Arabidopsis thaliana: one gene and its partner. The protein of the gene in region 2 binds, or shares a complex with, the protein of the main gene of each other region. Each region holds a gene or a part of one and is shown on either strand. Other genes may lie near its edges.

Region 1 (14,546 bases), on a different chromosome or scaffold from region 2:
TTGTCTTTAAAGCCAACTGTGTTTTTTTCCCTCACAGAAACATTTGACAAGTATGGTGGAGAAAGCCTCCATTGAAGATGTGATGAAAGTGCTCATAGCTTCAAGAAAGCAAGACATGCATCAATTATGGACTACTTGCTCTTACTTAATCGCCAAATCCGGTCTTCCACAAGAGATTCTAGCCAAACATCTCCCAATCGAACTTGTAGCCAAGATTGAGGAGCTCCGTCTCAAATCTTCAATGCCTCTCCGTTCACTAATGCCTCACCACCATGACCTAACCTCGACTTTAGACCTCGAAGACCAGAAGATCAGGAGGATGAGACGTGCATTGGACTCCTCTGATGTCGAGCTTGTGAAGCTAATGGTGATGGGAGAAGGACTCAATCTAGATGAGTCCCTAGCTTTGATTTACGCGGTTGAAAATTGTAGTAGAGAGGTTGTAAAGGCACTTCTTGAGCTTGGAGCAGCTGATGTGAACTATCCCGCGGGTCCCACAGGGAAAACCGCTCTTCACATTGCGGCTGAAATGGTGTCTCCGGACATGGTGGCTGTTTTACTCGACCACCACGCCGACCCTAACGTCCAGACAGTGGATGGAATCACTCCTCTCGACATCCTTCGAACCCTAACGTCAGATTTTTTGTTCAAGGGGGCAATTCCTGGATTGACTCACATTGAGCCCAATAAGCTTAGGCTTTGTCTCGAGCTGGTCCAGTCCGCGGCATTGGTTATATCACGCGAAGAAGGAAACAATAACAGTAACGATAACAACACAATGATCTACCCTAGGATGAAAGACGAACACACGAGCGGAAGTAGTTTGGATTCAAGATTGGTTTATCTGAATCTTGGTGCTACAAATCGTGATATTGGAGATGACAATAGCAATCAAAGGGAAGGAATGAATCTGCATCATCATCATCATGACCCATCAACGATGTATCATCACCACCACCACCATTTCTAGGTCTTTTTGTAGTCCCTATCATCCTTTTTTGATAACCATCATCCTTTAATTAAGATAAACATATTCAATATCTAATTAAATTGTTGTTATGGTATTCTTTTTTTCTCTATGTATATGGCCATGCGAACAAATTTAAACGTTAACTCCATGGAGTCATGGAGAGTGGAAGGGAACACAAACAAAAGGGTCATTTATATATAGATGGATAAAGATCTTGAGTTATATCTTGACATGTATAAGCTTGATTAATATTAGGTCGTTGGATTTACATTATTCAATTTTCTTATAATCAAACAATGCATTACAGTGATCTTGATCGTAGCATTTCCTTTCCTTTTGGGTAAAGTGAGGCTAAAAAAAACAATAATAGCAAAGAAAAAAAGCCAACATTTATGGAAGTGTCAATGTCATCACCACTACAATATGTACATTAGTGTATTCAAAGACAAACAACAAATGGTCGGAGCTTGTAACTTTGTAGCCATATGAAAAATACAAATCCTGCAATAATATAATAACATTACTTCTGCTCCGAAGGAAAAAAATAGTTTGGTGAAACTTGAAAATTGAAGAAGCTTTGTGGCTAAAATAAGATTTTCTCAAAACTAGAGGACTACTCTACAAAATTTTGAAGCACTGTATAGGTTTTGCAACCTAGTCCTTTAGAAGAGAGGAAATTCTCTTTGACTTGGTCAGTCATAAGTGTCTACAGTGTTACTCATGGTCATGGATTAGATTCGCCTGAGCGTCTCCGTCTTCCGACGCCGAGCTCTCTCCGTCAATAATGTCCTTTTCCGGCGAATCAAGTTGCACGCTTTCCGGAGTCTCCGGAATTTCACTTTCGTTTTGGCTATCTTCCGGCTCTGAATTCATCCTCAAATTCTCTCCTCTAACGAGATTCAACACAAATCCATTGTGTGTTCTTCCCGTCTGAAGATAATCGCCTTCCGTGACAGTGATGCTATGAGAAGACGACGAAGCAGCTACAATCGAATCGTTCTCCGAAGCTCTAATCTGTTCCGGATCAACGGCGTCGAGATTCTGGACGTAGTCAGTGAACATCTGAGCAGAATTGGTCCTCATCAATGGTCCGCCAGATCTAGTCCAATCTTCAGCTTCTGGAGAATCACATTCGCTTCCTGCGTCATAGGTATGGCTTAAGTTACTGGTTCGATTACTATTCCTCCCAGATCCAACCACGATATGCTGGTACAACCGTGAAGCTTCAGCTAGGACATCATCATCGACGGATCCGGAGGAGTTCTGACGAGCTATACAATTCCAGGAAGGGATTCTTTTGGAGGCGTTGAATCTATTGGTTCCGGCCAAAAGATGTTTAGATGGTGGAGAGGAAGAGATGGCGGAGAAAGCAGCGGCTCTTTCTGCGCTGCGTTTAAGGCGGCGCATGTGGTTAAGAACGGTGACGCACTCGTCGAGTGCTAGTTCGATCCCGAAGTTTGCTTTGATTACTGCTAGTTTTTCCCAGGTGCATCTCCTTCCTTGATTTGCTGCCTTTTGAATCTCTACATTGCTTGGATTTTGTATGATCTTCAAGTACTGAACCCGGAAACATATAGAACCTCTATACATTAATAATTGGATTAAGAGTGAGGAAGTTTTCTAGTTGGGAATCATTATTTAGTTTACCTGAGAAAAAGTAGCTGGCATGACAATTGTGACATCGCCTTCCCATTCTTGAGCAAATAGTGAAGCTACTTCTCTTAGAGGAAGCCCGAGTTCTAGTACTTGATTACATCTATGCTTCACTTCCATCTCCGCGAGTTGCGCGAGCTTTGGAATGATTAAGAGATAGAATTAGGCATTGGATTATAAGTATTGTGGATTAACTAGATAGATTATGAATCATACCTTTGCTGCAAATCGACCTCCACAAGCTCTCACAAACTCCTTCATCCTCAAGAAGGGTGCTATGTGAGGGTTGGCTTGACTGACAATGAAATGGTTGACATTGAAAAGCTCTTTGAGTTGTATCATCGGTAAGTCCATCTCCAAACTACCGTCCCTCCAGCGCCGAACTGATGCTGAGCCCTCTTCAGGATCTAAGTTAAATGGTGGATGATAAGGAACAATCTCTCCAGTTCTGTCTTTGGCCATGAGTTCTTGAGCTTCGAAAAGACCTGGGAAAGCACAAGATGCAGTCACTGCACTCCATATCACAACATGAGGCGAAGTCAGATAATTGAGACATCTAGGCGGCTCGTGTTTCCTCAGGGAACAAACTGTTATCCCTAGAATCCGTCCTGTTATGTCGTAAGCTTCTTGGAATGTGAGATTGTTGGTGAGATTCCTCAACTTCCATTGCAGATGCCGGATCTCATGGACTGCGCCTTGAGTCATAACCCGCTTCACAGTAGTGAAAATTCCTCCCATCTGATCAAAGAACTGCAGAGCATGCCAGGACCCTTCAAAGAAGCTCTGCAACTCGGGCCATGACCTTGTCCCCACAACCGCACACATTACAGACCCCACGCTTGAACCAGCTATAATTCTTGGCAATAGCTTATGTTCCACAAGCGTCTTGACCACACCAAGATGGAAAGCCCCAAGAGAAGCTCCTCCACTGAGAAGTAGAGCTGTTCTTCCATACGCGTGTCTGGTCTCATGCATAAAAGAAAGTTTCTCCTCCAGAGAAAGCTCTTCAGTGTCCATGTCGCAAACCATCCTAAGCTGTGTAGAGACCTCATCGATATACTCTTTGATGAGTCTCGGCACGTGAAGCCTTCCCTTGTGAAGCTCAGGGTTACACATATTACCGAGATTTCTCACAAGATCAGCTCTCATACAGAAAATAATGTCTCTAAGAGAGCCCTCATGACGTCTATGCTTAAGTTCATCAAGCTTATTACTTACGAGCTCCACATCAAAAAGATCTGTCTCGTTCACCTTGGGAGTCTCTTTATCTAGCATCTTTGCGGCGTGAGACCATTCCTCATATGTCAATGCAGCTCTCATCATGTTCCTCCAAAATTTTCTCCTGTAAGCCATCTCAGCCTTTGCTTTTAAGCTTGTGTAGCGGTTCAACAGAAAGGCCATCGTCGTCACCATTACTAATATCCCTTGTGGATTCCTGGGATGTAGCAAGGACACAAACGGTGATAGTAAAACCCTACCTCCTCTGAGGAAAAATTTGAGAATTCTGAAAACTTTGTGTCTGAATATAGACACGGAGTTGCAGAACAAGATCCGGACGGCAATTGTTCTTCCGATTATAGTCGTGGGTCCTATAATTGAGAACGCATCAACGCCTGCTTCGTTGCTTATATCCATTGTCTCCGACTCGAAGACGAGAACCTAATCACTGGTTTTTACGACGGACACAAAGAATCGAACCCAGATGCCAATTTTGTCTGTAAGACCAGAATCAGATGAATCAAAAAATCGATTTTTTCAAACCCATTAGAGAAGAGAAGGAGATATCGCTAACCCACCGAGGAATGAAATTGAGAAAGATGAGACAGCAAGTGATGGGAGGCATAGGGATCTGCAAGATAACATAGAAAAAGAAAAGATTCCGATGTATAATAGAGGACTTCAAGATTTCGTTTTTAGCGAAGAACAGAGGAAATTCATTTAAATGAAACCTGAGATTCATTTTTGCTATGAGACAAAATTGGCGATCTAAGTAAGACCCAAGCTAATCTTTGGACTTTCTAATTTTGGGAACATAAACTCGCGAACACGACAAATTGCAAAAGAATAAAAAATTGTCTTTTTGCACAAATAGTCTCTGTTTTTTGAAACTCGACGAATATAAAACCGTTGAATTCAAACATCTCTGGTTCGTATTAAATAAGTTCGGTATTATCCGAGATAATCATCTCTAGACCCAGCGACAGACAACAAAGGACTGAGTTCTCGTAATCAGGCCCATTTTTTGGTCAGGGCTAAGGCCCGTTTGTTGAAAGTTAAAAACCCGTAACTTTTAATACTGATTTAGGTCTATTATTATCCTCGTTGCCAAACAGACAAACAGACAGACAAGAAGGGCAAAGACCAAAAACAGAGAGAGAGACCACAGTCATATAACTAAAGGGAGAATCTGCTTAGAACTGAAACTAACCTTACAAAAACATAAAATCTGGTAACGTAAGCGAGACGTAGAATACAAGCATAAAATGCCTTTTGTCTCACTTTGTTCCAGAGTAGATAGATACCGCAAAATCAAAAGAGTTCAAAACTTAAAAAGCACCATAACGCAAACCCATCTCATTCCTCATCATCCTCACTGTCTTTGTTCTTCTTCTTCTTATCCTTCTTTTTCTTTTTCTTCTCACTCTTCTCTGCTGCTGATTCATCTTCTGCGTCAACAGCAGCTTCGGTGTCTTTGCTCTTCTTTTTCTTCTTCTTCTCAGACTTTGGTGAAGCTACCTCTTCTATAACCTCCTCCTTCTTATCTTTCTTCTTCTTCTTTTCCTTCTTCTCAGACCCGGCTTCCTCTTCTTTCTCCTCTTCCTTATCCTTCTTCTTCTTCTTCTTAGAAGACTTCACCTTCTCTTCAGCCTCTTCTCCTTCAACTTCTTTGGTTTTAGATTTCTTGGTTGTTACAGGAGCAGGGCTATCACTGCTATCATCATGCTTACGCTTACGCGCTTCCCCTGCTTCTCCATTCTCAGCGTCAGCCTTTATCTCCTCAGGAGCAGCAGCAGCACCAGCAATTATAGCATCTCCACCGGTAGGCAAAACCACATTCCTGCTCCACTCAACCGGAGTCTTCTCATTAGGCTTCCCATGCTTATCCAATTTCCCATCAGCAATAAGCTTCTTCTTCATAGAAGCCCTTGGTCCCAATCCCCACTTCCTCGGGTAGGTATCTCTATCCATCACCACACGCTTGATCTTAGCTACCACACCATGATCACAAGTAGCCATCACAGATGTTGTCATCTCAGCAATCCCAACGGCAATCGCCTCACCCTTGGTAGTCATAAGAACGACTTCAGTACCAACATCAATGTCATTCTCGAATCTCAACAACCCAGGAATCATCAACTTAGCACCATAACAGATAGCATTCACAGCAGAATCCTTGACAACAAGTCTCTTGTAACTCGTCAATATCATCTCAAGAGGCATAATCACCCTCCTAAGATAAGACTCATCTCTGGAGTTGTCATACACAAATTGGGCATCCATCACATCATGCATAGTAACCATGTTATTATTCTCACCCAAAATCCCAGACCTAACCCTCCTAAGCTCCTGCATATGCCCACCAACCCCAAGAAGTAAACCCAAGTGAACACACATAGTCCTAATGTAAGTACCCGCCTCACAAGAAACCCAGAAAACAACCAAATGCCTATCAGCATCATACTCAAGCAGCTTGCTTTCATAGATTGTCCTAATCCTAAGCTGTCTTTTAACAGCAGAGATCAAAGGAGGCCTCTGAAACACAGCTCCAGTGAGCGATTCAAGAGCTCTAGCTACTTTAGCAACATCAGGGACAGCTGAGTGAAGCCGAGCAACACAAACGTACTCTTTACCCGCACCTTGCTGCGATTTCACAAGCCGTGTGGCTCGGTCAATACAGACAATGAGGTTTCCAGTGACTTTTGGGTCAAGAGTACCACTGTGACCGGTTTTCTCAACACGGAGGATACGCTTAATCCAAGCAACGACCTCGTGAGAAGAAGGGTTCGCGGGTTTATCGAGATTGATGACACCGTACCTGATATACTCTTGAAGAGGACGTTTCAGAGGAGAGTGACCGGCGCTGATTGGAGTGTAGTGACCGGTACGGACGTTGAGGCGGTCGTAGTTCTTGAGGAGGATGGGCCACTGAGAAGTGTCGATGGCTGGAGTGAAACTCTGTGGCTTGATCATGTAGTCTCCGGTGTCGGCGGCATCGTTCTCCGTTTTGTCTTGCTTCTTCTTCTTCGAGTGTGAGATGTCGACCTCCGCCATGGCTCCGGTCGGATTAGGGTTTTGAAAAATGGAGGAGGAGGCGTTAAAAGTTGTAGCGGAAAAAGAGGAGACGACTGATTGGTAATTTATAAAGGACTAGGGTTTTTTAGGGTTTTAGGCGACAGTGATGACACTGGAAGCTTGAAGGTAATCCCTTATTGGGCTTGAGTTGGGTTTCTTTGATTTTAATTGGGCTTTTATACAAGTTCAATTCGTTTAGTGCCCAAATAAACGAGGTCCATATACCCGATAAAACCTTTAATTGGACTTTCATACAAGTTCAATTCGTTTGAATATTATCATTCGTGAAGTGAATACCAGTTTAAAGACCTTTCATAGTTCAAACTTCAAAGTAAATATAACCCTTTTTGTGTAGATAATTAAGGTTCTCTTTTGTTGTGCCCAAAATGTAGAAAAAAGCTCTTTTGATACGAGACAATTGAATGTTATGTTAATAAAACTGCTTATATAATTAGAAGTATTGATTGGTCATATAAACCTAATGAAGCATGAATAACGCCTCGTGATAATTATTATATTAAGAGTCGAACGTCTGTCTTTTTCAGTAACAAGAAGACAATCCTTATATTACTAAAACCAAGTCTTGACCACAGAAAATCATAAATATGGATGAATATAGTTAAGTGTATACTACTCTCTTTTTCCGCATATATAAATACCATAAGATTTATGTGGCCATTCAAAGACATGAAAAATTATCACGATTTTAAAATGTTTCGAGTGAAGTGTTTCGATTTGATTCTAAAATTCTTGAACAAATCAACCACCGCCCTAGAATATAGTGAAATAATTCTTCGAATATCCTTATTTACGCTAACTGATTCGCATAATGAACAAAAATAACCCCAAGTTTTTTCAAGAATATAGGTCCCATTGTTTCAGACTTTTACATTTTACACCTTAAGTTTCTGCATTTAGGTAAAGTCAGCTCTCTGGCTCTCTCTCTTGTCTCGCCAATAAATAGTCGCTTAACAAACAAACAATTTTTCTTTAAACCTAAAACTCACCAAAGAGAAAACACTGGGCTGAAGTAGGAAATGGCCGGCCTTCAATATAGTTTCTTCCCGACCGACTTCTTCTACCCACGAGCTTCTCCTCCGGCTACGACAAGCCTTGTCGCCACCAATCCAAAACTGGAGAAAACCCAAAAGAGAGATGGTTTAGTAGTGATTGATGAAACTCGTGCTTCTCTGTCTCTGTTTATACGTGAAAAGAAGACTAATCAGTCACAAACATGGAAGAAGCAGCCACTTTGGATCGAAGATGACATGTGATACATCTGGTTTTTGTCATAGCTTCATCAATTCTCATGTCTTTTCTTTCGTTAACTCAATAAGGTCATTTATCTATCAAGTTTCAAGGGTATATCAGGATTGGCTGTTATTTAAGGCTGACCTTAACCCAAAAAACAGAGTGTTTTCTAGATTTTAAAAAACCTCTAATGTGCCTCGTGTGGATCTTTGAATTCTTGTAATTCCAGCGTAATTTCAACGCAAATATCACTGTCCTAGCTCTTTACAATTTGTTCTTATTTCTTTCTATCGTTGCCTTATATAAAAGCAAGTTCTTTAAGTTGGCTATGAAGGTGTTATCAGTTTTACAAATTGTTGAATTTTGGTATCAAAATGATCATACTAAATAAATAGGGTGCAATCATTAGATGAAGCTAGGAAGAAAAAGCAGAGGGTAAAAGCCAATAATGTGCAACATGAATTGGGTCACCCAACCATTTACATTCCCATTTGGCAAAATCCAAATAATCTAATAGTAACTAAGATAAAATGCTTAGAAGAGAGTCAAGTCTGTAGAGAAACGAAAGAGAATGAGATGAGATCATCGGTATAAACCAATTTTGCAGCTTCAAGCGGAGACCTCCACTCAGAAGCAAGCGTCCAAGACACAGTAACAGCACAGAGCAGCAATACTGCAAAAGCAAATCACCATACTCAGTCATATCCAGTACTGAACACAACATGTATTAGCCAGATAACTCCACAAAGTGAGAAAGAAAACAAACTTCTGAGTAATGAAGACATGATGGCACACATCTTTTCTAATAACCTTCGGTTCTGAGGTTTGAATTATATCTTACACTCAGATCAGCACTATCAGATTCAACATCTTTCTATGCATTACTATAAGGTGAGGACCAAATCCAAATGAAAACAAACTTATGAACAAACGTGACATGACATGGTACTACCGATTCAATCAAATGATATAAAAAACCATGAATTCTCTCTAAGGATCAACAATTCTCGAACCAAAAACTGAAAAAACATTGAAAGAACAATTTAAAGTCGAGCAAATAACTTACCATCCTTCAAGCATACCAGGACTGTGTTTCTGTTGCTGTTGTTGCTGAGGTGGGTAACCTTGTTGAGGATATCCTTGTTCAGGGTACCCCTGCGGAGGATAACCTTGAGGAGGATAACCTTGTTGAGGATATCCCTGCGGAGGAGGATATCCTTGCTGAGGATAGGGTTGTCCCGGAGGTGGATAAGCGTCCTTGGGTGGTCCTTCCGCCGGATAAGCTATTCAGATCGAGATATAGATAACGTATTCAGATCCATCAAAGCAGAATAACACGAATTTCGAAATCAAAATTCAGAATCTAAACAACACTTTATATCATATTTTGGAGAAGTAGTTAGAAAAAACTCAAATCTTAAACAAAAAGCGAAGAGAAGTGAGACCATAATAATTCAAATAATCAAAAGCAGAAGAGTAAGGAGTGACCATGAGAAGGAGGAACACCAACAGCAGGAGGTTGTTGACTCATTGTAGTTATTTTCTTCTTCTTCGGGAGTTTGGAAGATGATGCAACAGAGAAAAAAAGTGAGAAGAAAGAGGAAAAGGAAAAGCGCATTTTTATTTGTAGGCGAATTAGGTTTACTCTTTTTAAAGGTATTTTCTAACGGTTATCCTATCAAATTATATCTTAGTCAACTTTTTTTATGTTTTAAATGTATATCCTAAATATTTTCTTGATTTTTTTTTTTAACTTTTGCTTTTGGGAAGTGAATCCAGATTCTATTCCCTATAAGAAGATATTTTTTTGGTAAGCCCTATAAGAAGATATTGTTACATTTATCTTTGACTATTTTAATTACATTAATTTAATTTGGAAGGATTTTTAATTTTTAGATATTAATTACATTTATTTATTTTTCAAACTTTAAATTTATTTTCTCACTTTTCTTGTATTTAACTTAATTTTTAAAAACTTTCTTTTCCGTAAATTCACAAAAGCAATTATATTCAAGAAAAAAAAAGAATCTTACCACATTTTTTTTTTTTTACTTTTCATATTCCTCAACTTTTTAAGAAAATCAGAAAAACAACAGAATATTTAATTAAATTATTTACATTTTGACATGCAACCAAATTTCATCAGCAATATAATTTCACTAGAAAAAATCATCATTAATTTCATATAATTTGTTTTTCATAGATCAAATCAAAAGATTTTTACATAGTTAAACCAGAGACAAGGCTGATGAACAAATCAAGTAAAAAGGGCCACAAATATTGAAAAAGGAATCCATGTTTTCCAATGTTAACGATTCTCACCCCTTACTCCCCTAGTTATCTCATTGTCTTGTGGAGTTAAATTAAAACGCTAAGAGATCAGCTGGAGAAGTCATCATTTGCCACATGAGCTGATGGAATTATGGCATAGCATCCAGTACTGTCTCAATGGCATGTGGAGCCATGGCCTCGGAGGAGGAAGATCAAGCCCCAGTTTTGATGGCATTCTGGAAAAGACGAGAGAAGGTAAATGATTTTGAATAGAGAGAGAGAGAGAGAGAATGACTTAAATTTTGTGATCAAGATCATATAAAATCACCTCTTCCCACTGAGGACTCCGCGAGCTGATGTTGTCAGAGAAGAAGCTGATATTCCTGAAAAAATTGTTTTATAGTGAGGCAAAAGAATCTGTCCTGCAATTTGTTCAATATAAATGTCAGCAAAAATTGAATACCAAACAAAAGCATAACAGATCATCTAGATTAACTTGTCATTAGACTTGGAACAATCTACAAGTTTACCTAAGGTTAGAAAATTGCTGCGAAGATTGGAAACCATTAGAGAATTCTTCTCAGGAGTACCGTGTTCTTCTAGTAGACTTTTGGAGTCTTCGAAGGCATCATTGGATTTAAGGATATGCTCTCCACAGTGTTCCATTTCAAACCAAACACCACAGGGGAATCTTTTACGCCTAACAAGCCAAATCATAACCTCTGCATATGGTGTTGCATGGATGACGGAGATGGCAAATTCAATCAACATACATATGGAGTTTATTGTAGTGCTCGTAATGGTGAAAAAGATGTAGAAAACTGATGTTGTTGGCAAGAGAAGCAGAAGAGGAGTGAACAGAAGAGATCCCACTACATGTTGCTTCACAGTGTAACCATAGCTGTCCATTCTTTGACGTAGAGGATTCAATTTTCGCCCTCTGGAAGAACAAAGAAGAATTCAAGGTAAGGTTACTTTAAGTAAGGAACTGAGGTGAACAAAAATGGTTCACCAGTAAGAAGATATAACAATACTTTAGTATTTTCATTGAATTCAAGAAGTTTAAAAAGGAAACGGAAAACGTATTGCATGTCTCCTCCTTTTAGATTTAAGAAAACCAAGAAACCGATTCACCAGATGTTAGTTATCAGCTTAATGAATGAACTCATCTAATTTAATACTCAAGATTTACCTGAAAAGCCTCCACAAAGCTGCTAAGGCTTGGATTTGGTGAGAATACACAAGTGTGATTGCCCAGTGAAGAGCCATTATATGAAGTGTTGCAAAAGTAATGACATCTATGACAAATGCGGCAGATACTGTGGCACCAAAAGTAATTCCAAGGATGGCAATTACTCTTATCAAACAAAAGATGAAAGAAGCCATGAAGACCCAGAGAGTAGACCATATCTGTATTACATTAAGAGATACCATGCCCAAAACTCCAGCCAATTCTGTATTTAACTTAAAACCCGCTGGAACTCCCATCAACCACACACTACCAGACCGCAAAATACCATTCGTAAACTCCTTTGCAAAGTCGAATACAAATGAGCAGACAGATTCGGTGTTAAACAGTAGACCTAGACCAATCAAGTTCCCCAAAACAAGATCAACAGCCATGGCCGACCATGTAGAATGTCTTTGCAGTGCAGCTTCCTCTGCATGTTTCACACAGGATATGGACCTTGAGAAACCCAGAAGAATTGTCATAAATTAATAATCGTGTGAAACTTCTCAGAAAAATGACAAATGCATTGCATAAAGGTATCTAGAATTAAACTTTTTTTATTTCCCAAGATTAGTAGGTAAGCAGTTGTTGTTAGAAAAAAAAATATGAAGATGCAATTTTGAGCCAAGGGCAAACAGAAAAAGTTTACAAATCTAACTAAAGAAGAAAATTTGGGTATACGGTTGAACTTACATCATGTCAATCTCTTCAAGGAAGATTGGCCAATATAAGATCTGACAACTACGTATCCTGAAGTTGATCCATGTATTCTTGAGTACCCTCCTCGATGCGATGTGCACCCATGAAAAAATCAGAAAACTTGAAAGTAAATAGAAGAATTGGGCAAGGCTATAATACAGACTTGATAAAGAGCCTAAAATTGTGGCGAGTAACCGCCATGTTAAAGAAGATATCCTGAAAAGCAAGATAGAAGCAGTTGGAACAACTAACAACAAAGAAGAAAAGAATTCAACAAGGCAAAAAAAAATATCACGAGGGCTTACAAGTAACTAATGGAAAAGTTCTGGGAAGAAGTCTCCAGCTGCGTGGATATCTTCTTATAGGCAATCTTGGCAGCTGCGGCGCAATTTAAGGAAAGAATAACAGTTTCCTGCTTACATAAGAATGAGAGAATATTAGTAACAAGTCGAGAAAGAAACACCACAACAAAGAGAAGCATTTTGGAAACTACTCAACCATTTCATTCAGAGGTTTCCTATTGTGAAGATCATCAACCCACTTGGGTTTCTTAAGAGGAGCTTTTGTCTGAGGAGAAGAATTCGAAAAGCTTAACGAGAAATGGTGAGAACCAAACACTGGAGTGTCATAGACTATGACCTGACAATGACATGTCCATGTTTAAGGGAGTCAAACACTGGCAGCGTGTAGGTTCAGAAAAGAATAAAACAAGAGAAAGACATCATGACTTACATACGTGGACATCGCATTGAGATACAATATCCCCATTCCAGTGTATATGATGCAATCTAGAACTTGAATGGAATTCCATAATTCTATGCTCTGCAGAATCATGCACCATATGAATCCAGTAATTTCTCACAGAATCTTTCCTGAAATCCTCTAATAAGCCATCAACCTTATGACAACCACAACTGAGGCCACTATATTTGCAAGGCCTAACATAAGCTCCAGCCTTGCGGGACATATCTTTGTCTCTTATAATCTTTGATACGTTTCCATTAGCATTACGGCTTATATCATAACGACCAAGGAGTGTAAATGCTGCCTTGTCCCGTAAAGTTGAGGGCATCTTCTCATTTGTTTCACGGAGTACATCCTGTTAGAAATCACAAAAGAGAAACGTCGCATACACTGTTTATCAAAAAGCTAGAGAAAAAGGATTTTTTGTTTTGTTGAGGTGGAGTTATTACTTGGAGCTTAGATCCGGCATTGGACAAGGAGCTCTCATCAGAGATGAAGGACACAACAACGTCAAGACAAGAAGAGGAATGGCAAACGAACCACCCAAACAATAGACTGTGACTCAAATCATCAGTTGATGCGAGCTGTTTAGGCAACCAAATCCTACATTTTCTCTTCATTTCAGCTCTCTGCCACACAATTCCCAAAATGCCAAACGAAAGAGAACAACATATCAACAAGAATTTGAAAAAGTGAACATAATACGAGAAAATTCCAAAATAAAAGAGAGTAATTTATCGATCTAAGAAGACACAACTTCAAATGTGAACTAGAGAACTATGTAAGTAAAGTAAAACCCCAGAAAAATACTCGCATCGAAGAAGAGACGATGAGTAGTATCAACTTCTACAAGGCAATTGGCGATCGGAAAGATGAACCGAGATTCATAACACAAATCTGAACCCTAGAAATTCTTCAATTCAACTTAAATCTAATCACGAAAAGACGAACCTCGTGTTTCAGGAGAGAAGGAAGTCTAGAGTCGAAACTTGGTTCTGCAACCGGAAGAAAGATACATTCCGGCGACGAGACCAACGGCGACAAGGGGAAGAGATAGATATTTTTCACTATGGGCCGGGCTTTTCTTAATAACGAGGTTCACTGGATTAAACAAATTTGAATTCAACCAACACTACACACTTTGTTCTTTTTGTTACAATATAGTGGATTTGTCTAAATTCTCAACTATGTCTAGAAATAAACTGTAGAATTTATTTCTAAAATAGATTTTTATTAATACTGTACTTTGGAAAAAAGCTGAGGATGTTATTAAATGCTTGAAGATTTCTTAGTTAAAACATACAAACACACAAAATCTTAAAAGTACTTTGCTTATTTGATAATCCACTAAAATCATATGAATTTTTTAAAATGAATTGAAATAAATAAATAGTCGATGTGGATTTAAAATTGTTTTAAAATACATAAACCAAT
Region 2 (16,184 bases):
GGTTTTATTACTTCGTGTATTTACCTTCCAACAAAAAACAATTGGGTCTTAAACGTCCAAATAAAATTTAGTTGAGGTTTTTTTTTGGTTTTTTCCCTTTTATTTAGTAATTGAATTTTCAAGTTAGTGAAACATTCCACGGGTCGAAACCATTTTAAAACTTTGAACAAGGTATAGTTGTTCCACAATGAAAATGTGTATATTACCTGCTGCTTCTACTAACTCTTTAGTCCAAGGTCTAGAGGAAGATATTTTTGTGTTCAGTCTTTGGATTTGGTTAATATCATGAAGTTGTTCTTTTGGTTACAAGGTCTTCATGAACTAAACAACACAACTACCATACTTAAGTAAGCCACATCCAACATTCTTAACATGAGTTTCTTTTGGTTAATTGTTTCTCTGAGTTTAATCAATTTATACTTTCATGGTCTTGGTTTGCTTGTTGATTCTGTTGTTTTTGGTCTTCTGCTTGATGGTTAGATCTATTTGTATCGTGATTATGTGTTTGTAAGGAAGATCACTTTGGGGAAGTTTTCTTAAACTCTTGAGTGCGATAATCTTTGAGTTACTATCCAAAATTTGGCAAAACAAATTTGTTGAGGCAATGTGATGACAATGGCTATGATATCTGCTTTAGTTTCTAAAATATGTGAAAGTTGCAATTAGGTTTGGGCGTTCAGATATTCGGGTCGGGTTTTTCGGATTTAGAAATCTAAGACCCGTTCGGGTATTTTAAGACTTCGGGTTCGGATCGGGTTTTTTGGGTTCGGATTCGGGTTTATCAGGAGTATCCAAAACTCAAAACTTTTATATCAAAATAGGTTAAAATTACTTGAAACTATTCAAAAATTTATAAAAACTTGATTATTTTCTATCCGAATTTATCTAAAAGTAGGTAAAATACCTAAAAATATACAAAATAACTTAAAATCCAAATATTTTAGGCATTTAAGTTGTTGTAGACTTGTAGATATGATTATTATTGATAAATTATTTGTTATATATATATTTTGGATATGTTCGGGTACTTGATCGGGTTCAGGTTCGGATCTGGTTTTTGGGTTTTGAAGTTTAGGATCCATTCGGGTATTTTAAAATTTTGGGTTCGGATTCGAATCGGATTTTTTGGGTCGGGTTTGGTTTGATTCTTCAGGTTCGGGTATTTTGCCCAGGCCTAGTTGCAATTGAGAATTCAAGTTCTAGATTAGTTTGAGGTTTTGTGATTGTTAAATACAGGACATGATGTGGAGTATAGACTATTGTGGGATCATAACTTTTTTTGAGGAATGTCTCATGTTGTGTGCTTGTCATCTCTCTTTTATTAGGTGGTTTTTTTTTTTTTTTCCCCTTCTCTTTAGCTCTGAATCTCAGGCTTTCCTGTGATAAATGACAATTTGAAATTGTTTTGTATGCCCTTATATGCCCAGGTTATACGTTTCGACCTCTGGCTTTGCAAACAATTGATGTCTCTATTATACCATCGACTCATTACGCTTGTGTGGATGTTTCAGATTATAAACTTGTTGGGTTTGGTTTCCTTGTTTTAACATATATAACTGGATGTTTTGCCTATACTATTTATACTGTTGGAAATGTAAGTGAGTTCCTTTAGCAAAGAACAAGATACACTTATTAATGTACTATACAAGAAGTAAATTAGATACTTGATTCAGTGACTACTCTCTTCAGAAATTTTGTTTACTCTAGAATGTTTAGTTCTAGATACTTGATTCAATACTACTTCCTTCGGATATGTCTCGATAATGTTTTTAATGGCTTTAATTTCATAAAATATTTTCTCTCTTTATATGTCATTGCTAAATAACAGAATTAAAACAATAAATATATGATGTTCTAATCTTTCATCAATTTATAGCATCATCTATTGAGAAGTGGACAAAAACTGAATCAAAACCCTGATCGCAAATAATTGTCAATCGATCAGTGATATGGTGTTGTGAAGAAGCTGGGTTCAGATTGAATCGGAATGTGATTGACAAAAAAAAAAAAACTGAATCCAAATTTGTTTTTTTTCTCAACGTTGGTAACAGTAAAAACTGTTAATAGTGTTTGGGCTGGAAAAAATTAAGTGGGCTTCGGTTTTAGATTTGGGCTTCAATAACAGTATGCTTTAAACAAAAGAGGTAAATGTAATGGGCTTTGTTAATTACCAAGTTTCTAACAAAATTATTAATGTTACAAACATATATTGTTTTTAGAAATTTGTGACAAACACATTTACTAATTTCAATTTCAATTTTATGATACATCATTAGAATTTCATAATTGTTATTTTAATTACCTGCTGTCCAAATTAATATACATTCTTGAGATATCCACATTGCATTGCATAAATAAAATAAATACAAGTACTAAATCTAAATATCATTATGAAAATAAAGTGTCACATACTTATACCCACCACAGAAGATATAGTTTTTATATAAGAAAAAAAAACATCAACAACCATTCAAAATCATATGCTTACAGAAATATACATATTATATCGCCTAATTCCATAAATCCGTAGAATAACCAATGTTATCGTTACCTTAAATACGTGTTCTTTAATTATACACACAACCGAATATATAATTGAGCAGTAGGAAAAAAATACAATAACCATACTGAACATAAACTATATTGTCAAAACACAAAACATCAACATTAAAAAAAAAAATTATCCAGCAGTATACCGTGGATCATATCCTAGTATTGAATACATGAGTACAACTACAGAAAATAACTTTTATTTTGTTCCTATATATTAATTAAATTAAGCAAACGTTTTGTTAATTATGCTCAAACGTTTTGACATTCATTTATTAATTATATGTAATCAGATTAATCAAATATGATTAAGTTTTTAATAACTCTTTTGCATTTTATTTTGTTCATTGATAAAATAGTAAAACATTAAGTTTCAAAATTAAACCCTATACCTTAAACTTTCTTAAAACATATTTATTTATTTATCATTTAATAAAATAAATCGAAAACAAATAATCAAAAATTGAACCATATACCCTAAAAATCATATAGGCCTGGATTTCCGGTTAAACCCGAGTAAAGCAAACCGGAAGAACCGAATCATTGCGAATTGAAGTAGCAGAGAAGTAAACCGTTCGGAAAAATTAATTTGGGCTATCGGTATTCGGTTCGGGTCAGTTCGGTTATCAGAGTCCGATCGGGTTAACCTAAACCGAGTATTAGAAGCCCTATATAAGGTTAATGTTTCACCAACCCTATTTTCTCTACTTCTCTCCGCCTCTCTCGCATCTCCAAATCGAAATCGCTCTCTGCCTCTCTTCGTCTCCGTCTCCGTCTCCGTCTCCATCTCTGTCTCCGGTGAGTATTCATAAATCTGATCTCAGACAACATTAGATTTCGATTGTAAGTTCTTTAGGTCTGTAGATTTTGAGTAATGGGTTTGACAACATTAGATTTATATTGCCCACTCTCACTTGTTTGTGTTGATTACTGTAATGTTGAATTTGGGTTTCATCTACTAACTAAGATGAAATCAATTTGAGAAGACTAGTGGATAATAGTGAACACGTTTACATGACTTTTGACTTGATAGTTTGCTATTCTTGTTGTATCTGTGTGAATTGTTATAGGTTGCTTGATTTTGATGTTCATGTGTCAAAATTGATAATGTAGCTTTTGTATCTGATTAATTAAGATTCTAATGCAGTTGAGTTTTTGGTCTTAATATTAGGCATTGTATATTATACCAACGTGTGAAGAGGTTCTGTTGTTTTCTGAATTTCTCTTATTTTGTGTTTCATTCAGCAAAAGTGTGTCGTGAGTTGATATTCTTTTAGGCTGAATATAAATGTATGTATAAAATTTGGCTTATATTGTTTGATAAGAACACTAGACCTCTTTCAAGTTGAGCGTTATGTTGATGTATATTACTTGACTCATTTTCAATTCTCTTGACAATATTTGACATTGCATTTACATGTGGTTCCTGTGTTTGTTTAGTGTTCAACCTGAATGTTGAAGTTTAAGACATAAATCATCTATACTTGGTTGTTTCTTGATTTTGAATCCTTAATAAGACATGGAATTTCTCCTCTCATCAGGTAAGTCACTGAAAGATGGGGCGTGTTAGAACCAAGACGGTGAAGAAATCTTCACGTCAAGTCATTGAGAAGTACTACTCTCGCATGACTCTTGACTTTCACACTAACAAGAAGATCCTTGAAGAGGTTGCCATCATCCCATCAAAGAGACTCCGCAACAAGATTGCTGGATTCTCCACCCACTTGATGAAACGTATCCAGAAGGGACCAGTCCGTGGAATCTCACTCAAGCTTCAAGAAGAAGAGCGTGAACGCCGTATGGACTTTGTTCCCGATGAGTCTGCTATCAAGACTGATGAGATCAAGGTCGACAAAGAGACTCTTGAGATGCTTGCTTCTCTAGGAATGTCTGACACATCCGGCATCTCTGCAGTCGAGCCACAACAAGCTATGGCACCAATCGCTGCTTTCGGCGGCAGGGCACCCAGAAGATACTAAGATGGCCTCAGCTAATCATCAGCTACGATTGGCTCTCTTTTTTCTCAGTTAGGGACAAGAAAGACTTGTGTGGTTGTTTATTGTTTCTTCTGATTATGTCTTAAACTCAATGTGAGACTCTTTCGTATTAATGGTTTTTAAGTTATGTGGAACCAAAATTGGAGTTCAAACATTTGATAGTACCAATACTTTTTGCTTATCAGATCCGAGTTGATTCATGGGAGAGTTGTTGTATCAGCGAAGATTGTGGAGTTTTATGAAGGACTGTTAGTGAAACATTCCACAGGTCGAAACCATTTTAAAACTTTGAACAAGGTAGAGTTGTTCCACAATGAAAATGTGTATATTGCCTGCTGCTTCTATTAACTCTTTAGGTCTAGAGGAAGATATTTTTGTGTTCAGTCTTTGGATTTGGTTAATATCATGAAGATGTTCTTTTGGTTACAAGGTCTTCATGAACTAAAACAACACAACTACCATACTTAAGTAAGCCAAATCCAACATTCTTAACATGAGCCTAATACTAAACTATTTAATCCTCTTTTAACACTTACAAATACTTAATGAAGTAGTCTAGTACCAAAGATTCTGTATAATCTAGTATTCCACGGGTCAGCTTTGTTAGTATAGTAGGAGAGGATGCAGCACTCGATCCATGGTGGATTTCTTGGAGCCACAAAGTTCGAGCTTTCCCGTATACCGAGCAACCAATTCCGCTTCTTCCTCAGCGTCTCTGTGTCCTGAAACCCTAAACCCCAAAAGTACTCCTGCCAATAAAATCTAGATTAGGCTATCAGAGACGATCTTTGTTGACAGTTTAGATGCAAATAGACCAAATGGTGTATTTACTGCGTCTTTATTGCATAAGAAAGCCTCTAAAGTCGCTGTTGAATCCTCCAGTGTCAACAAAACTTGGTGGTGACGGCGATTCTCATCTGAACAGAAATCCTCTACTTGCCAAGGATATGCAGCTACAACCCGAACAATACATCTGTACTTGCATGTAACCTGTAATAACAACGTAGGCGATCACATAAAAGTATTCTTAATCTTTTCAGGGAATACAGCAAATAGATTCATGAATGGTACCTTGGGGAATGTTATGATGTCCATCAGTGTAACAAATGGGGCACAATTGTCATCTGTCTCTGCAAGACACCAAGAATGTTAAGGAAGTCTGTCTAAAGATTGACACAGAGAAAAACATTCGTTGAGATTAGATCCTGCTCATTAAGTAAAAGAGAAGTATTGCAACCTGTTAATCCAGGAGGTGACGGAAAACACCAGAATGAAATGTGTCCCAACTTTGATGATAGTCTCTTATCATATATCCTAGTTTTTGGCACATTAGATTATAAAACAAAATGGTAAGAGATTCTCATGGTATGCAAAAAGGTCGGAAGTAGTTACTGAAAGAAATATCAAGAAGTACAAACCTCATGATCTTTTCAACTAAACGATCATCTTGAGCGAGATGATGAACCTTTGTAGAGCTGGTAACTTTGATTACCCAAGATCCTCTATCAACTTCACAGAGTAAATGGTAAAGTTTCACCCAATCACCAGGTTTAACCCGATAAAATAGATGACTGCTTAGATGAACTCTCAAGATCGTTCCAACGGTTGGAAAGCTGAGCAGTACATCTCTTGACAGTAAAGTATGAACAGAGAGACTGCTAAATGCCTTGTCTTCTTCACTTCTCCTGTCGATAGCCAAACATTGTACACCAAATAGAAGAAGAGTAAGCGTAGGATATGGAAAGCGTAGAGTCAAGCCTAAATGAATGACTCAAAACAGATAATGTGAGGATTTAAAACTTTTTTCCTTCGCAGTTAATACTCACTTAGCCAGAATAGATGCTGGGGGTGCATCAGTCCCGTCCCAAACAAAAACAGCGCTAGTATCTTCATCGGCATGGAGAATCTCCATCACAAGAAACAGCAGGAAACAAGGTAGGATCAGTCAACAAAACATAAAAGGAGCCAAAAAAAGATTTGAAGTAACAATGAAGTGGTATAGAGGAATGAAGAGTTAAAAAGCTTTCTCACAGTTAATAGAGAGTATAGAGCATATTACCCTGCACACCAAATCAAAGCGTTTTCCTATCTTGATCTCTCTCAAGAAGGAAAAAACTTCGGAGCAAGGTTTTGTTCTGTAAGATATACTCTGCATAGCTAAGTACCAAAACAGTAAATGAAAGCTTATGAGAATCGTTCCAAGCTATCCAAAGCCATTATACTATATGCATAGTTGAAAGCAAAAGAAGCTCACAGTGTTACCTTTAATAACTTGGCTACAACCCGCAAAAACTTTGCGTAAATCATCCATGGCACTCTTGTATAATGCTTCTTCTTCATGAAAATTGGTACTACATTGGTAACAAACAAAATCCACACCTTCGAACAAGGCAAAGGAAGAAACCCATCTACTACAAGCAGCATTTACTCTTTCTCCACTATCAAAAGTTTGCATCTACACAATAAAAATCCAAACTTTATAACCTCCTGCACAAAACACAGAAGGAAAATGAAGAGGTCTTTGTACCTTAATGCGAGTAAACAGAATCATGTCGTCGTGGTTCTTGATTTGAGGAAGTTGTTCAAGAGTCTTACTAAATACATTAACAGTAAGTCCAGGACTTGGATACGTATCATCAATTATCCGTAGCGTACAAATCCAATCTAAGAAAAAAATCCAACTTTCAGATTTTGTTGGGTCAAATGTTAGGGCTTTCACAAAACAAACCAACTAAGATTCAGATTCAAGCAAAATTCTATGTATTTAACTCAAATTTTGGTTTTTTTTGGATAAGTACCATTGTTGCGACATTGTTTTGGTTCTCTTTGTTCAAGGACGATACCAATGAGACTGACTTGTTGGTTGATGAGTTTAATGGCGTCTTTGATTTTGATGAGCTTGGGACTCTCTCTCTTCTTCGCCATCTCCCGCTTTGCTACAACGTTTTTAAGTATTATCCTGACGTCACAAAATTAGAGAGTGGTAATATGTGGAATGAGTATCAACAGAACACTAAGCACCAACCTGCAGCCCATAGCCAATAAGTGGAGTGAGTATACATTGGAGGCAATAAGTGGAATGAGTATACATTGGAGCCAATAAGTGGAATGAGTATACATTGGAGGCAATAGAATAGCCATCAACGGAATGACAATGCAAGGATATCAAAAGAACACTAAGCACTAACCTGCAGCCCACTGGAAGTATTCAATGCAGAATCAGACTGAAGGCAAAAAAACTTTATCTTTCTCTCACTTGAATCATCCCCTGGATATAGCAAATTTCATCACAATGGTGAGAAGTAACCAAAGCTAACAAATGTTCCAGAATATGATCCTTCCCTTACATCAACCATCTCTCACAAGAAAATTCTTCAATCCACAATTTTTACTACTTTTATCTACCAAATCCTCAAATCCATTACAATGAACATAATCCCATGAATACAAATGATATATTTTGTTGTGATTAGATTTTAAAGGAATAAACTAACCTCAAGGTCGTATCTGTGCACATTGTTTCCGGCGACGACGATTGCCACCGGAATGAGACCTTATCAATGATCAATTCCGTTAGGTATCGAAATTAGAACCCCTTCATCAACGAACAACACTAGATCTCTCCAGTGAAACGGCCGACGCTTCTCGATCCTCTAACGACGCTCTCAATTCCACATTCTTCTCGCCGTTCTCCGTGAAGTTGCTTCTGTGAAGATTCACTAAAGTCCCAATCAATGTAATCGGAGAAATCTCCGACCAAATCGCTATCGCCAAAGAGACTGTTTTTTTTTTCTTGTTTCTTTTTTTTGCCAAAAAGTTATGTTATATATATCAACCCAGTGCATCATCCAATAATGGTGAACCTTGGAGAGGCCAGTACAAACAGGATACAGAGATAGAATTTTTACATATCAAAGACGTCTAAGTAAAGATAACAACATTTACGTTACAGTTAAGGTACAATATTGAACTACCACGAGCATCTCCAAGAGATACTCTATCCCTCAAATATAAAGTTTTAGGTTCTCTAAAAGATAATCCAATATAATTTAGAGCATATCCAAAAGATATTTTATATATAGAGTATGTAAACTTCAAATATAAAGTATGAGTAGTTTCTTCTCCAAGAGTATACTTTAAATATGAAGTTTCTAAAATATGTGTTTTGCATTATAGTCTTTATATTGTTCATAATTATTTTAAAACTATATAACTTTAATAATAACACTAAAACATACATTAAAATATTACACATAATCTTAATTAACAAAACAATACATTTATAAATAAAATACATATAAATAAAAATTAAAAATACATAAATTAACTTATAAATTACAAATTACTCAATAAAATTATTTTCGTAATGCTCTCATATGTGATCAATCAATGCATTACGAAGAGATAGATAAGTCTCTTTATTTTTAATCTGTAGATTACGAGTCAAAGTGTTGAAATATTTTGAATATATAAAAATTAAAGGACTAAAATGATAAGGGAATGTGACACGTTTAGACACTTTTAAAGAATTTTATTCCTTTTGAGGCACTTTTCAGGGATTAGGCACTTTGCCATCTTTTTGAGGAGAAATTGGACTAATTTACCCCTGAAGTAATGATGACACAATAATTATTAAACTTATTTTTGATGAGATCGTGTGGGTAAGAAACTATCCCCCTTTTATCATCTCTCTCTTCCATATTCTTTTGTTTTTCATCATTTTCAATCTCTCTTTCAAAATCATTGTCGTTCTCTATAATTTTTACAAAATCATGAAAATTATGAGGTTATCCTAAATTCACAATCAAAATCTATGTTTACCCTAATTTTTTTTTTTTTTTTTTACTTTTGTATATTTTTCTCCATTCGCTGGAAAACTTATGGCCACCACCATCGTTTCTTATCGAAGGATTATTAACATTAGAAATCCAATTCGCCGAAGATTAAGACAGAAAATATTGGTCTCAACTCAGATCACTAAGGATGTTTGAATTGGGGAAGAAGAAAAACTGAATCATTGTTTGGGAGAGGTAAGAGCATCTTTAACCAAATTTTATCCTCTCTCGTATTGGATTTTTACTTGGCTTTATCTGTTTCTTAAGATTGAATGTTAAATTGATAAATAGTAAGATAGGATTCAATCCCAAGTTAGGATCGATTTGACAAATTACTTGAAGAATTTTAAATTAAGTAGTTGACTCAATCCCAAGTTAGGATCCAGTGATATGAATGTTGTGAATTGACATTGAAATTTGATTTGTTAAAATGCATCTAGTTTTCCAGTTAAAATTCTAATACCCTTCTCTGGGAACACCTTGAATTCCTTGTTTAATTTTTGCTCTATTTCCAGCCTATAGATACGTAGTTGGTCTTCAAAAACTTTGGCTAACAATAACTTTGTGTTAATCTCTTTCTATCTCAAAAATGCTAGGGAAGATGTGATATTTGGTTTTATTGGAGCTATCGTTTCCCAACAGATACATCTTCCGGATCTAGAAATGATGTGTTTAGATCACACACCTATCCACACCTCTATATCCATATGACTTTTTACATTAGCTGCAATCACCAATTTGTTTTGACAATTTGTTCACATGTATATGGATACTCTTATCATTGCATAGCACTTGGCCACTCTCTTGAATTTGATGACGTTAAACTGATCATATGATTGTTGGCTTTTTAGATTTTAGATTTTGCTTGTTTATGGAATGTTTGTATCTTAGTTCTAACAATGTGGATGACGATAATGGAATGTTTATATGGATGGCACATTATGGATGACGCATCGTGGATTGTGCAGATTGTTATGATGAGAGTTGTGAATCTTTTGGTCTTACATGTTAAGAATTGGAAAAGCTATATGTGGTGCTTTTGGTACGATTGTTGTCCACAAAGTTTCATCCATCTGATTCTTAAAGAACATTTAGTCATTCTAAATCATTTAGATATTCTTTTTAAAGATATAATTGTTCACTGACGAGTGTCCAAACAATCAAGTCCAAATGGTCACCTAGTAACTCACAGTTTGTTTTATATCAATGCACAAATTTATACATGAACAATAATCGTTGATAAAAAATTTGTTGAACTTTTGGGTTCTTCCTCTATTTAACTTTTAGAGGTTCACTTCTCTTACATCTCTTAGTTCTCTTTAATGCTTTGTTTCACTCACTCATTTTAACTCAAGCACAAAAAGAACCTTCACTCTCATTCTCTCAGTCTTTGGTTAGTTTCTTGTTTTGACACGAAGACATAAAACGATTAGTAAGAGAGAGAAAAGTGAAAACATTAGTTGTCAACATTTTTGTATTGGATTCAAAGATAGATTCTTATTATAAGACATACACACACATATTCATACTAGTTTACTTCTACTAAGTACACACTTGCATTATGCTTCTACTTAGACCTAGACCTTACTTTAAGACATCATTACTCTAGTCTCTAAGGTATACCCAAGCTTACAAGCAAGGTTTACCAACAACTCCTACACAACAACAACTCTAACAACTCTTCACTAAGCTAAACTTTAACTAACATAACACACTTACTCATTTAGGCCTAACAAAACAATTAGCCCAATCACTTATTATTTCATCTTCTCCCATGCATATTCTTCTTTTGCTTGAGCTTCTTCTTCTTATTCATGTTCTCATTGAAGCATTTTATCTTACATATTTAATCAAGAACTCAATCTCAACAGAAATACACCGTCCATTTTTCTTTGACCAATATTCACTTGTGTATAGAGTATGGACATTATCATAATTATATAATGGATCCATATCCAGCGATGACACATTAATGGTAAACAAATGCAACATTGTCCATTGATGTGTGTCCAAGATGTGCAATCCATATGGTTGTTTATACCAACACATAAGTTATACATATATAGAACAAGATGATGAATAAGTCATAACGCTCTCTCAGTCGCCACCAACAACTCGATCGCCTCCACCAACCAACAGACACTTCATCACCATATAAAAGACAACCGTCGCAAGAAACCATAACAAATCCGTTGGAGAAACAACTAAGAAGAGACATCGAATAAAGTAATGACTTTTAGATCTAGACCCAAATCTCCTGTCGCGAATCACTGGCTGTTTCTTCTGTCGTTAAATGTACTCGCTTTCGTCATTTACACACCTGCCGTTTTTGTACTCCACCAGTGCCAAAACTTGACTAATGAAGCGAGTACATTCAATTAGCCGAAACTGAATCTCAGATTCCAATGAAACCATAGGAATTCGAGAAGATCAAAATAGGAGAACGAATTGGTGAATTGACTTGTGATGAGAAGATAAAGAAATAGCAAAATAATGAGAAAAGTTGTTTTTTTGTTCTGCTTGATTTTGTTTATTTTTCGATAAAGTGAGAAAAAAGAAAGAGAAGAGAGAGAAGAATGAGAGATATAAGTCAAAAAATATTATCACGAGAGGAAGTTATAGTTAGAAGGGCAAATTGGACAATTTGGCTTAGAAAAGTGCCCAATCTTTTTAAAGTGCCTTAATCGGCATTAAGTTTCCAAAAAGTGTCTAATTACGTAATATTCTCAAATGATAAACATAGTAATTTGTACGATTATTTATGAAACATTGAATTTTAGGGACTTAAATGCAAATAAAAAGATGAAACTTCAAATTTAGAGTATTGAATAGTGATACTCCAAATATAGTGTCACTATTCTTTTTTTTTTTTTGTCAAAACCCAATTTCATTAAAACTAAACCAAACGTACATAACCGGAAGATAAAGTTCCACGGCCATCAACATTACAGAAAGAGAGTTTAGCGGTAGCATCCGCAATTGCATTAGCAGAACGAGAAATAAAATTAAAACAGAGGGAATGGAAGCTGACTCGAAGAGCTCGAATCTCCATCAACAAACCGTAGATCTCATTAATTGAGATGTTAGAAGTCAAGGCATCAACCACCGATTTGGAATCTGAGAGCACCATTAGATCAGTTCGTCCCAGTTGTAGCGCATGTAGAAGGGCTGATTTGATTGCCCAAGCTTCAGCTGACAGGGCTGAAGGAAGCCGACGACAACCGGCGGAGTAGGTAGCGGTTTCTTTCTCCAACGCCGTTGCTGATTGAAAGACCCACCCCGAACCTGCTAGCGACGACTGCGCTATCCAGGCCGCATCCACGAAGCAAAAGTATCCGGATCTAAGGACCGGGAGTTGAGATATTGGGTGTACAACGTTTCTAGTCTTTGGTAAACACCGTTGAGCTGATTGCCAGGCCAGAGCATCAAGAATAGCTCTTGTCACTGTCTCTATTGCAGAGAAATGGGATTCTTGAAAGATTAACTGGTTCCTAGCTTTCCATATATGCCGCAGATCCAAGGAAACAACGCTGCACTAGTAACACCTGTAGGGGGTAGAATAATTGCTTTCTTGAGGAGGCTTAGTGCATCTAGCATAGAAGAACCAGGTGGGACTGTAGTCTCTTGAAGGGGAGCTAACTCCCAGACTTGGGCAGCAAACTCACAATGGAAAAACAGATGAGTGGTCGATTCTGGTGCACCACATCTATGACAAGCCGCTGAAGGTGATATATGGCGTCTTACCAATTGGATTCCCACCGGGAGAGCTTCCATCGCTGCTTTCCACATAAGGTGTTTGATTTTTGGCAAGGTTTGAAGCTTCCAAAGGTTTGATTGCCAATTGAATTGAGTTTGTGGTATAGGGATTGAGGCTACTGATGCAATGCCATAGCCAGAGCGAGAGGTATATTGTCCAGATTTTACTGGAAGCCAAGCAAGTTTATCAACACCTCTACTAGATGGAGCCGGGAGTTGTTTAATAAGGTTCTCGTAGTTAGGGAGAATGACAGCGATTTTGTTCCAGTCCCATTGGAGTGTGTTTTGATTGATTAGAGCTGAAACCCGGAGATCTTGATGTTCCCTCAAAGCAGGACCAATAGGAACTAGTGGTTTGGAAATAGATAGCCAAGGATCATTCCAAATGCTAACCTTCTCTCCATTAGTAATCAACCAACCAAGACCTTCTTTTAGGATTTCTCTTCCAGCTATGATGCTCCTCCAACCATGAGAGGGTTGAGAAGGAAGTTTGCACTCCATAAAGGAGGAGGAATGGCAATACTTGCCCAAAAGGATTCGTGATAATAGAGATTCCGGGGAATTCAACAACCGCCATCCTAACTTTGCAAGCAAGGAGTCATTGCATCGTTCTATGTCACGGAAGCCTAACCCTCCAGCGTTTTTTGGGTTTGTCAGCTTTGACCAAGCGACCCAAGATGTCTTTCGTACATCCGGTTTAGTATCCCACCAGAATCGAGTTAACAGGGATTGGATCTTTCTACATAGAGCTGAGGGTAGTTTGAAGCAAGACATGGAGTAGAGAGGCATCGACGCCAAAACAGCCTTAAGCATAACCTGTTTTCCGGCCTGCGAGAGAAATCTAGATGCCCAACTGTGAGATTTTTGTCTGATTTTATCAATAATAGCCCCGAAGATATCTCTCTTACGACGACCAAAGTGCTCTGGTAATCCAAGGTATTTTCCAGTGCCTCCTTCTTTCCTAATTTTCAGAATTCTCTTGACTTGTCCTTTTACTGATCGTGGGGTTTTTGATGAAAAGGTGACAGAGGATTTGTGAAAATTGATGCTCTGACCTGAAGCTTTACCATATCTTGACAAGATTTCAGAGAGTTTGTTGCAGCTTTCTGGGTCAGACTTTGAGAAGAACATGGTATCGTCGGCGAAGAGTAAGTGGTTTACCCGCGGACCATTAATGGATACCCTGACCCCCGGGAGTTGTCTCAGCCTCTGCGCTCTCGTACAAAGACCTGACAATACCTCCGTACAGAGAATGAAAAGGCAGGGGGATAAAGGGTCGCCTTGTCTCAACCCCCGAGTAGGAACAACTTTGCCTTGGGGGGTCCCATTGATGAGAAAGGAGTAGGAAACAGAGGTAACACACTCAAGCACCCAATCTATCCATATACTATGGAAACCAAATCTTTGAAGGACTTTTTTGAGGAAGTCCCATTCAACTCGATCATACGCCTTACTCATGTCGGTTTTAACCGCCATTGAACAATGTTTTTTTGCAGATGAGGTGCGGAGAAAATGAAGAACTTCATGAGTAATAAGGACGTTATCTGATATTACCCGACCGGGCACAAAGGCGGACTGATTCTCAGAGATGAGCTTTGGGAGGATAAGTTGCATCCTCTTCGTCATGATTTTAGCAACAATCTTATAGAAGATGTTACACAGGGCAATTGGTCGATAATCTGCAACTTTACGAGGTCCCAAATCCTTAGGGATAAGACGGATGTGTGTTTCATTCATTCTGCGAGGGAAATTCTTGGAAGTGAAGAAAAGCCGGATCTCTCTTCCAACATCAGTTGAAATAATATGCCAATAAGAATGGTAGAAACCCGCTGTAAAACCGTCAGGACCAGGCGCCTTACTCGCATTGATACTAAAGACAGCATCTTTTACTTCTTCATCATTTGGGATTCTAGTTAGAAAGTCGTTGTCTCCCTGCGAAACCATGGGTTCAATAGCTTCATCGACCACTGAAAAATCACCATCAGACTCAGAAGTGAAAATTTGTTGGAAATAGCCCGATATAATCTGGGAAATTTGGTGTTCCTCATGCTGTGCAACACCATTGATATCCTCCATCACAGTGAGGCGATTTTGCGTTCTCCTATTCCTGGTAACTGCATGAAAGTAGCCGGTGTTTCGATCACCACTATGCAACCACAAAACTCGACTTCGTTGCTTCCAAAACTGCTCTTCTAACTTGTAAGCATGTTCTAACGTCGCAGTGAGGGCTCCTATGGTAGTTGGATTAGGAGGGTCAGCTGTGAGAGCTTCTTCTAAAGCTTTTTGGGTTTTCTCTATCAATTCAGCAGAGTTGAGATTTTGGAGTCTTGTCCAATTAATTATCTCCCTACGACATTGATTCATCTTGGTGAGAACAGAAGCATCTCCTGCGTTTGTCCAAGTTTCCTGAATAAGGGCATTGACAACGTCATTATCTCTGAGTCTGTTATCAAAACGAAACTGTCCTCTCCGCTTAACTCTAGCTTCGTCAACGAACACCACTAAAGGTCTGTGGTCAGAACCTTCAAAACGAAGATACTCAGATCTTCCAGAGGGGAAGCTTTCCAGCCAAGAATTGTTGGACATTGCACGGTCTAATCGTTGGCGAACAAACCAATCATATCTCATTCCCCGCCACGAGAAAGGGTTTCCAGAATATTTTAGGTCCCATAATCCATTTTTTGAGATAAAACTGCGAAAATCAATAAAAGATCCTTGGTCGCGTGGAGGACCACCTCTCTTTTCAGAGTTGTCAAGGATTTCATTAACTCGATCGCTTCAGTCGCCACCAACAACTCGATCGCCTCCACCAACCAACAGACACTTCATCACCATATAAAAGACAACCGTCGCAAGAAACCATAACAAATCCGTTGGAGAAACAACTAAGAAGAGACATCGAATAAAGTAATGACTTTTAGATCTAGACCCAAATCTCCTGTCGCGAATCACTGGCTGTTTCTTCTGTCGTTAAATGTACTCGCTTTCGTCATTTACACACCTGCCGTTTTTGTACTCCACCAGTGCCAAAACTTGACTAATGAAG

Evidence for each region.
Region 1: AtPOT1a (region 2) and NAP57 share a complex: the UniProt entries of both Arabidopsis thaliana proteins name them as parts of the telomerase holoenzyme complex.

Annotation. Positions count from the first base shown.
Region 1 is NC_003074.8:21,149,058-21,163,603, forward strand, and holds NAP57 (homologue of NAP57), read right to left. Parts: upstream 7,019-14,546; 5' UTR 6,896-7,018; coding exon 5,198-6,895; 3' UTR 4,758-5,197; downstream 1-4,757. Other genes in the region: BOP1 (Ankyrin repeat family protein / BTB/POZ domain-containing protein), read left to right, coding at 38-970; SDP1-LIKE (sugar-dependent 1-like protein), read right to left, coding at 1,685-2,527, 2,618-2,761, 2,840-4,258; AT3G57160 (cysteine-rich TM module stress tolerance protein), read right to left, coding at 8,795-8,840, 9,234-9,450, 9,656-9,785; AT3G57170 (N-acetylglucosaminyl transferase component family protein / Gpi1 family protein), read right to left, coding at 10,563-10,674, 10,767-10,860, 10,969-11,378, 11,631-12,125, 12,363-12,584, 12,674-12,780, 12,867-13,007, 13,101-13,202. UniProt on the Arabidopsis thaliana protein: Plays a central role in ribosomal RNA processing. Probable catalytic subunit of H/ACA small nucleolar ribonucleoprotein (H/ACA snoRNP) complex, which catalyzes pseudouridylation of rRNA.
Region 2 is NC_003071.7:1,883,102-1,899,285, reverse strand, and holds AtPOT1a (Nucleic acid-binding, OB-fold-like protein), read right to left. Parts: upstream 8,603-16,184; 5' UTR 8,042-8,602; intron 7,816-8,041; 5' UTR 7,736-7,815; intron 7,573-7,735; 5' UTR 7,473-7,572; coding exon 7,346-7,472; intron 7,212-7,345; coding exon 7,075-7,211; intron 7,003-7,074; coding exon 6,810-7,002; intron 6,705-6,809; coding exon 6,607-6,704; intron 6,454-6,606; coding exon 6,374-6,453; intron 6,233-6,373; coding exon 5,966-6,232; intron 5,862-5,965; coding exon 5,785-5,861; intron 5,678-5,784; coding exon 5,619-5,677; intron 5,538-5,618; coding exon 5,379-5,537; intron 5,297-5,378; coding exon 5,090-5,296; 3' UTR 4,772-5,089; downstream 1-4,771. Other genes in the region: AT2G05220 (Ribosomal S17 family protein), read left to right, coding at 4,107-4,529. UniProt on the Arabidopsis thaliana protein: Component of the telomerase ribonucleoprotein (RNP) complex that is essential for the positive regulation of telomere length. Binds RNA non-specifically. Binds specifically single-stranded telomeric DNA.